Caenorhabditis elegans: one gene and its partner. The protein of the gene in region 2 purifies or fractionates together with the protein of the main gene of each other region. This does not show direct contact. Each region holds a gene or a part of one and is shown on either strand. Other genes may lie near its edges.

Region 1 (3,952 bases), on a different chromosome or scaffold from region 2:
TTATCCGATTTTTCATCCATCGTTCCGTGCGTGATTCGAAAAGTTTTATGATAATGTCTTTGTAATTTGATTTTTCTATTTGCATCATTCCCTTTTCTTCGTGTGAATGTGGCCTGTTTTCCTACAATATTGAAAATTAGACAGAAACATACACTCAAGCTCACCGTCTTTTTGAAATTTTCCAAATACTGGTTGAATACCTGCTTGAATTCTTCTAGCATTATTACCTGTAAAAATTAAGCGTCTGCCAAGGGTTTTAAAAAATTATTAAATTTCAGAAAATGTAAATAAATAATGGGCAATTGTTATCAGTTCCTTTTGCTTTCGTCATTCTTTTTCTTATCAGACTCTGAAATGGCACGCGATCAAATAACTTATAGCAATAATTTTCCACACATGGCATATGCATGTTTTGCATATACATAGCTTTTTACATATCAATTACAAAAAATAATTTCATTATAATGACTATACTTTATCTATTTCCAAACATGCTAAATCAAACCAAGATTTATTGGTGCTCATTCGATGCTATAATGGGATGCTACAAAATATTAGCCTTGAGAAAAACATATCGATAGAAATGAAAAGTGGAAAAAATTAACAAAATGTAGAGGAACATGTCTATTGATAGAAGTTTCCACACTGGCACTCTCCTTCTTATGTTATTAAACGCGAAGTGCTCGCTGTCATTGATCACGTTAGCAGCATGATTTTTCCGTTCAATTTCCACCAGAAAGTCTAGAAGTGCTATTAAAACCTCTATTCTTCTCCTGAAGACTTGCAAAGTTTTAAACGATATTTTTTCATTTTCAAAGGAGTCCACAAATGTGTTCATGCAATTTCGAGCATCGGCTATTTCACTGAAAATCTCTACTGCAACGTTTTTGTTGATTTTGTCTTCTATGCAGTTAATCCCCTGGAGTTTTGAAATGTCTTCAGATGCTTCCGCCAATTTATAAAATTCATTCTTCACACCACTCAATGCAATCTGAAATTTGGTACTTCTGAATTTTTAATGATCATTAAATTCCAAAAAATTTCAAAAAATTCCAAAAACTCCAAAAATATTACCTGACGATTTGCAATGGTTTTCGAATCTTCTCCAGCTTTATTTTGCACCAATTCAATTAAACACACCACTGCAGTTAATAACGATGAGCCCGCTCTCTTCGCGTTTTGAACGACATCATTAAAGTGTTTTTCAAGTTTATCGTTTCTCTTAGCCTCCGCTAACTTCCCTTTCTTCATTTCAGATTCCAAATTGATCCTGTCACGTTCAGCTTGATGTTCCAGCTGCAGTCTTCGATTATCCAGTTCGGTTGAGCAACTCATTCTTAACATTGTTTCTTGGTGTTTTACATTTGCGGCGTGTTTTTCCAATCCCTGGCGTTTAAGTTCGGATAGGTATGCCTCCTCGGATTGATTTCTCTGAAAATTATTTATCTTAATCGTTGGAGTAAGGGTTGGAAATTCAACTTGGAATCTAAGTTTCGAACGTTTGAAAACGATAAATTCGAGGCAAAAACCCTCAAAATGACATTTTAACTATAACTAACCATATTTTTTGATTTTTTAATGGAGTTCTCAAGATGTTCCTTCTCTAGGCTGAACCTTTGAAGTGCATATCTTAATGCGCTGCTGTTCGCTTCTTGTTTCTCCAATAGCTTCTTGTGCTGAACATTTCTCAAAATTTTCTTTTGTTCTTCGTAATATTTTTCAGTTTCTTGTGGGCTCCGTCGTTGGTGTTCCTATAGAATTTTGACTTTACACGGTTGTCGTCAATAGCAATTATCATTTTTTCAATTCATTGAAACGAGTTTTCTGTATTTTTTGGCTTAGAAGAAAAAGGAAATTCCATACCATATTTTTAGTGAATCTGTAATCTTTTAGTGGATAAGTGTTGGCGAAGAAATCCTCGTAAAAACCCATTCTTCTATAACAATCTGGAAAAGGACATATTAGTGCAACCTGAGGTATTTATTATAAATGTTGCATATCAAAGGTGTTGAAGTTCTTATTGGTATAAATGAATTTTTCGTTGATCGTGTTTTATATTTGTTGATTTACAAATAACTGTTTTCCAGTGCGGTATTGAAAAATTCCTTACAGAGGGATTATATTAAAATATTTAATAGGATACTTTCAATGAGTAAAAAACCTGACTAAAACCAAAAGTTATTGTAATAAAATTAAGGATGTGTAGAAAATAAGCAATGAAATGAAATATCGATCGATAAGAAACCATGCATATACATGAGAAGTAAGACGTTTAAGTGATGAAAATTCATTTTTATTCCTTATAGTGTGTTTAAACCATAGTTCCGTATATTATAACCCATTTATTGCTTATTGTGTTTACAATGTATGATAAAATTTATGTGCTCTTCCTAATTGTAAGTGTAACTTTTGATATAAACAACTGTTATCATCAATTCACTCTATTTCAGAATTCATGCAATTGCTTTTTTAGCTTTCAAATCAGGAGTTTGCAAATTATCTCTGAAAAAAAAAATCCGAAGCAATAATTAATTTCTGTTAGTAGAGAAAATGGGACGAAAAATTGTACTTTAAATATGATTTTTCTGGTCGGAGAGCGAATTTTTCTAGTTTAAAGTGCTCATCTGTCACTATTTTTGTGTATGGTTATTTGAAATGTCTTCTAAATTAGAATTAGTTGTTCAAAAAAGTAAGCCCAAGTTCTTTGTTTGGCCTCATATTTTTTCAGCCCTACATTAATTTTCCAAACTTTGAAAATTAATGTCTGGCTTCAAACTAACTTTTTCAAAAATCCCTGTAGCCATTTTGTTGCAAATTATGTGTTCTTCCAGAATTTGAAAACGACATTCCAAAAACTTCTACATATGACCGCCAAGTTCAAGCAGAAAAAGTGAATTTCCGAGCACATTTAGAGACAAAATGGAATAGACAATTTTTATGCAAAATTAGTAGATTTTCAAAACTTGAAAATAAATATATGACTTCACACTAAATATCGTTTCAATAAATTTTTGAATTTTTGTTTGGCGGGTCTCGGCACGCTCGGTGTGTACGGTTACTTTTGTTTCACGTATGTCAATTGGATTTATATCAGATAGTCATTGGACAATGTTGATTTCCACGGTGGAAAGTTCGCGGATTATCGATATTGTAGAGTATTGCAGAAATGATTTTGTGACAGTAATAGATTAAAAAAACAATCGGATCGACTTTTCGAACTCAATAACAAGTCAATACAAAACTGAGTATTTTATATTCCAAGAAAAGGAAGAGTCGAAGTTTACTTTCAACTAGAAACCAGCTGAGCAAGTACATAGTTACCAAGACAATTATTAATGTTCAATTAGTTCCCAATCGCATTTGTCGAAGCACTCGCAGACGAAGTACTAATTCTTCTCCATTTAATTGAATTACTCTCAGTTTCTTCACGGATAGCAACCATATCACGAGTCAAATTATCGATCTTTTCCAAAATTCCACTGATACGGCCGTGATCCTGTTTTGCTGCAAGACGTGGCAACGTTGAACACACTAAACGGATGTCGCTCGACTCCATGCATCGTTTCATTTTATTTGCCATTTCCTAAATTGGAAACATTTAAAATATCGTTAATTTGTCCAATGGTTACGCATTTGGATTAGAAAGCGGCAATGTATGAGCTTGGGCCAGGTGAGATTTTGTTTAGGCCGCGCTCAAGCTTGATTGATGCCTCAATGCGTCAGAAACTCACCAAACAGCCGTCAACCACACGGGGATCTGCTTCTCGTTCATCGTACATATTACTTTTGAGCTGTTGAATTTGAAAATCGAATTTTGATTTTGCCATTTCTATTTCCCCCGTATAGTACTTAATTGCTTTGATAGCAGTTGCATGGTAGTCCTGATCTTTGTCCTCACACTGAAACATATATGATACACGATTGTCAGTTATAAAGTTTACCGTATTTTTCA
Region 2 (4,196 bases):
CCAATCATACAAAACGAACACGAACACAATATCAAGGTTCGCCCTTTGCCCAGCCAAACCTATGACATTTTTCCTTCTCATTTAATGTACTTTCACCCGGTAAACTATGCTAGACATCAACCGTTATGACGATTACGAAGTCGCATAGTCTACTTGTTCCAGCATGGTTTATCAGCAAACACTGCACATTTTTGGTGTGACCATATTTTATCAATCACATTGTGCACTCTAGAGAGCGGAAATATTACGATGATTTGTGATTTAAGGTTTGAATTTAGGAATGCATTTCACTAGGTATTTTCAAAGAAAAGGGAACATTTTTCTCAATTTTTTGTAATCTTCACTCAATGGGCTACGGGTTCATGTTTAGATATAAACCACTAGTTTTTTGGAATTGTATGTTTAAAGTATTCTCCTAAAACAAAGACGACCAGTATATCCTAACTCATTTAATTGAAAGTTAATTTAGTAAATTATTAAGCTAATGGAAACTGGTAATGGTTTTGTTTCTCCAGAAAAAGCAAATAAGGATATATGTATTTATACCTTGAAAAGTAGAAACACATGAAAATGAAATAAGTTAGATAACTTAAATTGTTGAATATATACATAAATAAAATAATGTTACTTTTTCAATTTAGAGACCAATAGATCGTGCAGCATACTGATGGGTGGAATGCATTGGCGTCCCCAATGCAGATTTCATGTCAGCCAAACGCAACTTTTTCCAATCTGGGTTCGTTCCGAACGCTTGAGCAAGACGAGCAATTTGGACAAGTGATTCTGGAGAGATTCTGAGATGATCGATGGTCACAGAGCGGCCGTCGGAAGAGCACGGAGGAATGTCGCGGGCGGATAGCTGAAATCAGTTTGAAAATAATTTAATTGTTCATTCTACGATTAAAGATTGTCAGGGTAATATTCGAACGTTTTTGACACTCTGAAGCTATTACTTAAGTAGATTTTTCAGGGTAGATTTTTTTTATTAAATTAATTTTTAAAGCAACTAACCGGATTACTGTATCCACTGCTTCCAGTTCCAGACTGAAGGCTTCTGGCCAGCATTTGAAAGTCAGGATCGTTAAAGAGGGTCTGTGCACTTTGTTTTACTTCTAATGGCAAATTATTGAGGGTTGGTTGCTCCGGAACTGGAGCAGGTGCAGCTGTTGATGGAGAAGGATATTGTGAAAGTTGGGGCATCTGAAACGTTTAATTTTTTAATTTTAATTTAACATTCTTCTATTCTCAACAACTTATTTTCATCTCGAATAGTTCTCAGTCAAAAATGAAGCAAGAATTTGAGAATTCAAATACTTCCGTAGGATCACACTCTGCACCGGTTCACAAACAATGCTAAACTATACTAATTGTGAGTGCTGAATGTGTACATGCCTCTAGCAAGAACTATCTTATTATTTTTGTGTTTGTTAATAAAAATATATGCGAATTAAAAAGTAAAATAAAAATAAACTAAACCAACTATTTAAGAATAGGCTATATCTTAATTAACTCTTCTCGAATGCACAAAAATTAGGCACTACGTATTAAGTATAATTTTTTACAATTTGAATGTACAGTAATTTTTCTTGGCACTCACGGCTTGTTGAGGTCCGTATACATATCCGTGGTGAGCCGATAATTGAGGAACCGTCTGTGATGGCTTGATCTCCTGCTGAGCAGGATATTGCTGGGCGGTTTGAGTGTACTGCAAATCATAAAAACTGAAAATAGAAAACTGATATTCATACCTGTTGTTGATTACTTGTTGGGAAGGCCGCAACAAAAGCCAGGTATGAAACTGCTAAAACTGCGAACTTTAACATTGGTGCAATTTTACAGCCAGAAAAAAATTAATATTTGCTGGATATCGTTACTTCTGCGTAGCTAGAAGTCGACTTTGTTGTTCGTTGTGAAAAGTGCTCTGATCTTGCCAGGCGGTTGCCAACCTTTTATATTCGCGCCTGAATACTGGCAAACTTCCTGTTAAGACAAACAACCGCATTTGTTGATTGTTGTTCGGGAGCAAGTGGTCAGAGGCGCTTACCTGTCTTAAGTCGCTTAACAGAAAACAGAACAAGACGGATTTTGTTTGAGTCTGTCCCCTTCGTCTGCCGGTAGGAAACAGTGGTTTGTGGCAATTGAGCAAAAAGTTCAGGGTCTGTTCCTTTCATATTCCACCTGGTGAATGTAGTCTTATGTTGCAAACAATGAGTTTGATAAACGTCATTCTCAATCAGTCCGCAAAATTTCAATTACAATGGTCATTGTTTCACTTGATTATTTGGTTTTTTGATATTTAGCAAATCTCGAACATTCTTGCGATTTTTTATGCGGGACAGATTTAATAGCAAAAATTCAGTAAGCAAAGCAACTAGAAAAAATGAATTTTTGAGAAATAAAATAGAAAACTGAAAATGGATTGCACTAAATATGCATTGAAATTCATATTTTCAAGATGTTGTTGTCGACAATTTAAAAGAGATATGTTTAAATATTTTCAATGAGCATACTCTTCCAATGTTAATTTGCTGTATTATTCTACTGCGTTTCAAATTGTAAATTCACCAGAAGTGTATAACATTTGTCAAAACCAAAGCAGGTAAAATACATTGTACATAATCTGCAAATTTTGTTTTGAAATTGTCAACTACAATTTAAAAAAAACTGTTCATTTTTTTTTTGACACGACGTGAGAAACAATGTACTGGGACAACGAAAAATCTACCAAATATAATTAGACCGGTATTCGCATTAATATGTCGATGAGAAAAACAATTCTTTGAGAAATCGGGAACAGGAAAAGTATGTAGAACTCGTGAAGTGATGTAGTAACATTTACAGTTTTTAAAACATTGTTAAAGAGCATCTAACTAATATCTTTGGAAATGAAGGACAAAAGCATCTGAACCAGAAAATCTACCAGATTTTGAAAATACTACCAGGAGGTGTGGGAATTGAAAAAAAAACGGAGCTATAAAGTCAAAGGTGAAATATGAAAATGCAGTTTATTTAGCTGAGAACTTTGGAAGTTGGACGTTTGTGCATATTGGAGAAGATTCAGATAACTAACATCTTTTTTTGGCAGATGGTTCTCCTGCCTCGGTAGCATTACTGAAATTTATGATTTCTTTATTGATTAATGATAGAAAAGTTGAAAAAATTCTACGGGGCTACTTAAAAATAAAAATAAAAAACTTGTTTACTGGAAAAATACAAAAGGCATACTTTTTGTTTCAAAATCTTTTGAACCAAAATCATCACCAAAACGCGAAGAAAATTGAGAAAAAAGTGTGGGAAATTTTCACAAAGCTTTTGTTTCGAAAAGCTTCACAAATCACAGTTTTTTTGAAGGGACAAAAAATATATCAACATATTTTTCAAGTCTGACCCTTATTGAACTTGAATTAAACAATTTAAAAAACCCCACTTTTCTTTCTTCTCGTCATCTCTGTGTGTATTTTGATTTTGGTCCCGTTTTTTCATTGTTGGCGTCGCCAATTGTGTGGAGAGCCTGAAACTTGAATACTACGTATATGCGCATAATCTGAGGTTTTTGGAACATGATTTCAGAATACTAAGCTTGTCAAGAAGTGCGATTGTTTATACAGGTGTTGGGTTTGATTTTTGAGGTTGATATTCGAAATAGAGTGTTTAAATAAGTTATAGAATGGGGACAATCGATGATTAAAATCCTTTAACCCTGCGTTTGAGTACAATTTTTTTTCGAAACGGAGTCATGCCATGTGTGTTCTATTTTGTTTTTTTAGTAATTTCAACAAGATCACATTTCTACAAAATGGTCTTGCCACGCGCGCTCCTTAAAAGTTGATATTTTTATTTAATGGATACGTTTTTAATGTGTTTTGAAAAATGCAATTTTTAGAAATATGAACTTTGATTTTTTTAAACATGATTTTTCAGAAGTATACATACAAATTATTTTCAAAATGAATGCAAAGTGAGCGGTGCCACTGGTTTTCATAGAAAAACTATTACATACATAAAACGCTTAATTTACAGAATTTACAGTTCAACTGTCGATTTACGCATTTATGTTTTGACACAAATTTTTAAATCTGAAAATGAGACTCACATTGGTCCAGTATACGTCGGAGGGACTTTCAAGTCTGCAGGTGTGTCTAGATTCGATACAAACGGATCGATGTCCATTTCGATAACTGCCTTTTCGCCAAACA

The links.
Region 1: the proteins of C49F8.15 (region 2) and pals-15 fractionate together in Caenorhabditis elegans (co-fractionation; one large-scale study listed by BioGRID). This does not show direct contact.

The regions. Positions count from the first base shown.
Region 1 is NC_003279.8:13,141,181-13,145,132, reverse strand, and holds pals-15 (DUF4200 domain-containing protein), read right to left. Parts: upstream 1,939-3,952; 5' UTR 1,933-1,938; coding exon 1,864-1,932; intron 1,752-1,863; coding exon 1,560-1,751; intron 1,432-1,559; coding exon 1,075-1,431; intron 992-1,074; coding exon 545-991; 3' UTR 510-544; downstream 1-509. Other genes in the region: pals-14 (Protein containing ALS2cr12 (ALS2CR12) signature), read right to left, coding at 3,344-3,583, 3,732-3,899, 3,942-3,952.
Region 2 is NC_003284.9:13,360,675-13,364,870, forward strand, and holds C49F8.15 (uncharacterized protein), read right to left. Parts: upstream 1,913-4,196; 5' UTR 1,824-1,912; coding exon 1,749-1,823; intron 1,706-1,748; coding exon 1,598-1,705; intron 1,201-1,597; coding exon 1,012-1,200; intron 860-1,011; coding exon 638-859; 3' UTR 527-637; downstream 1-526. Other genes in the region: C49F8.1 (Miff domain-containing protein), read right to left, coding at 3,066-3,111, 3,428-3,511, 4,094-4,196.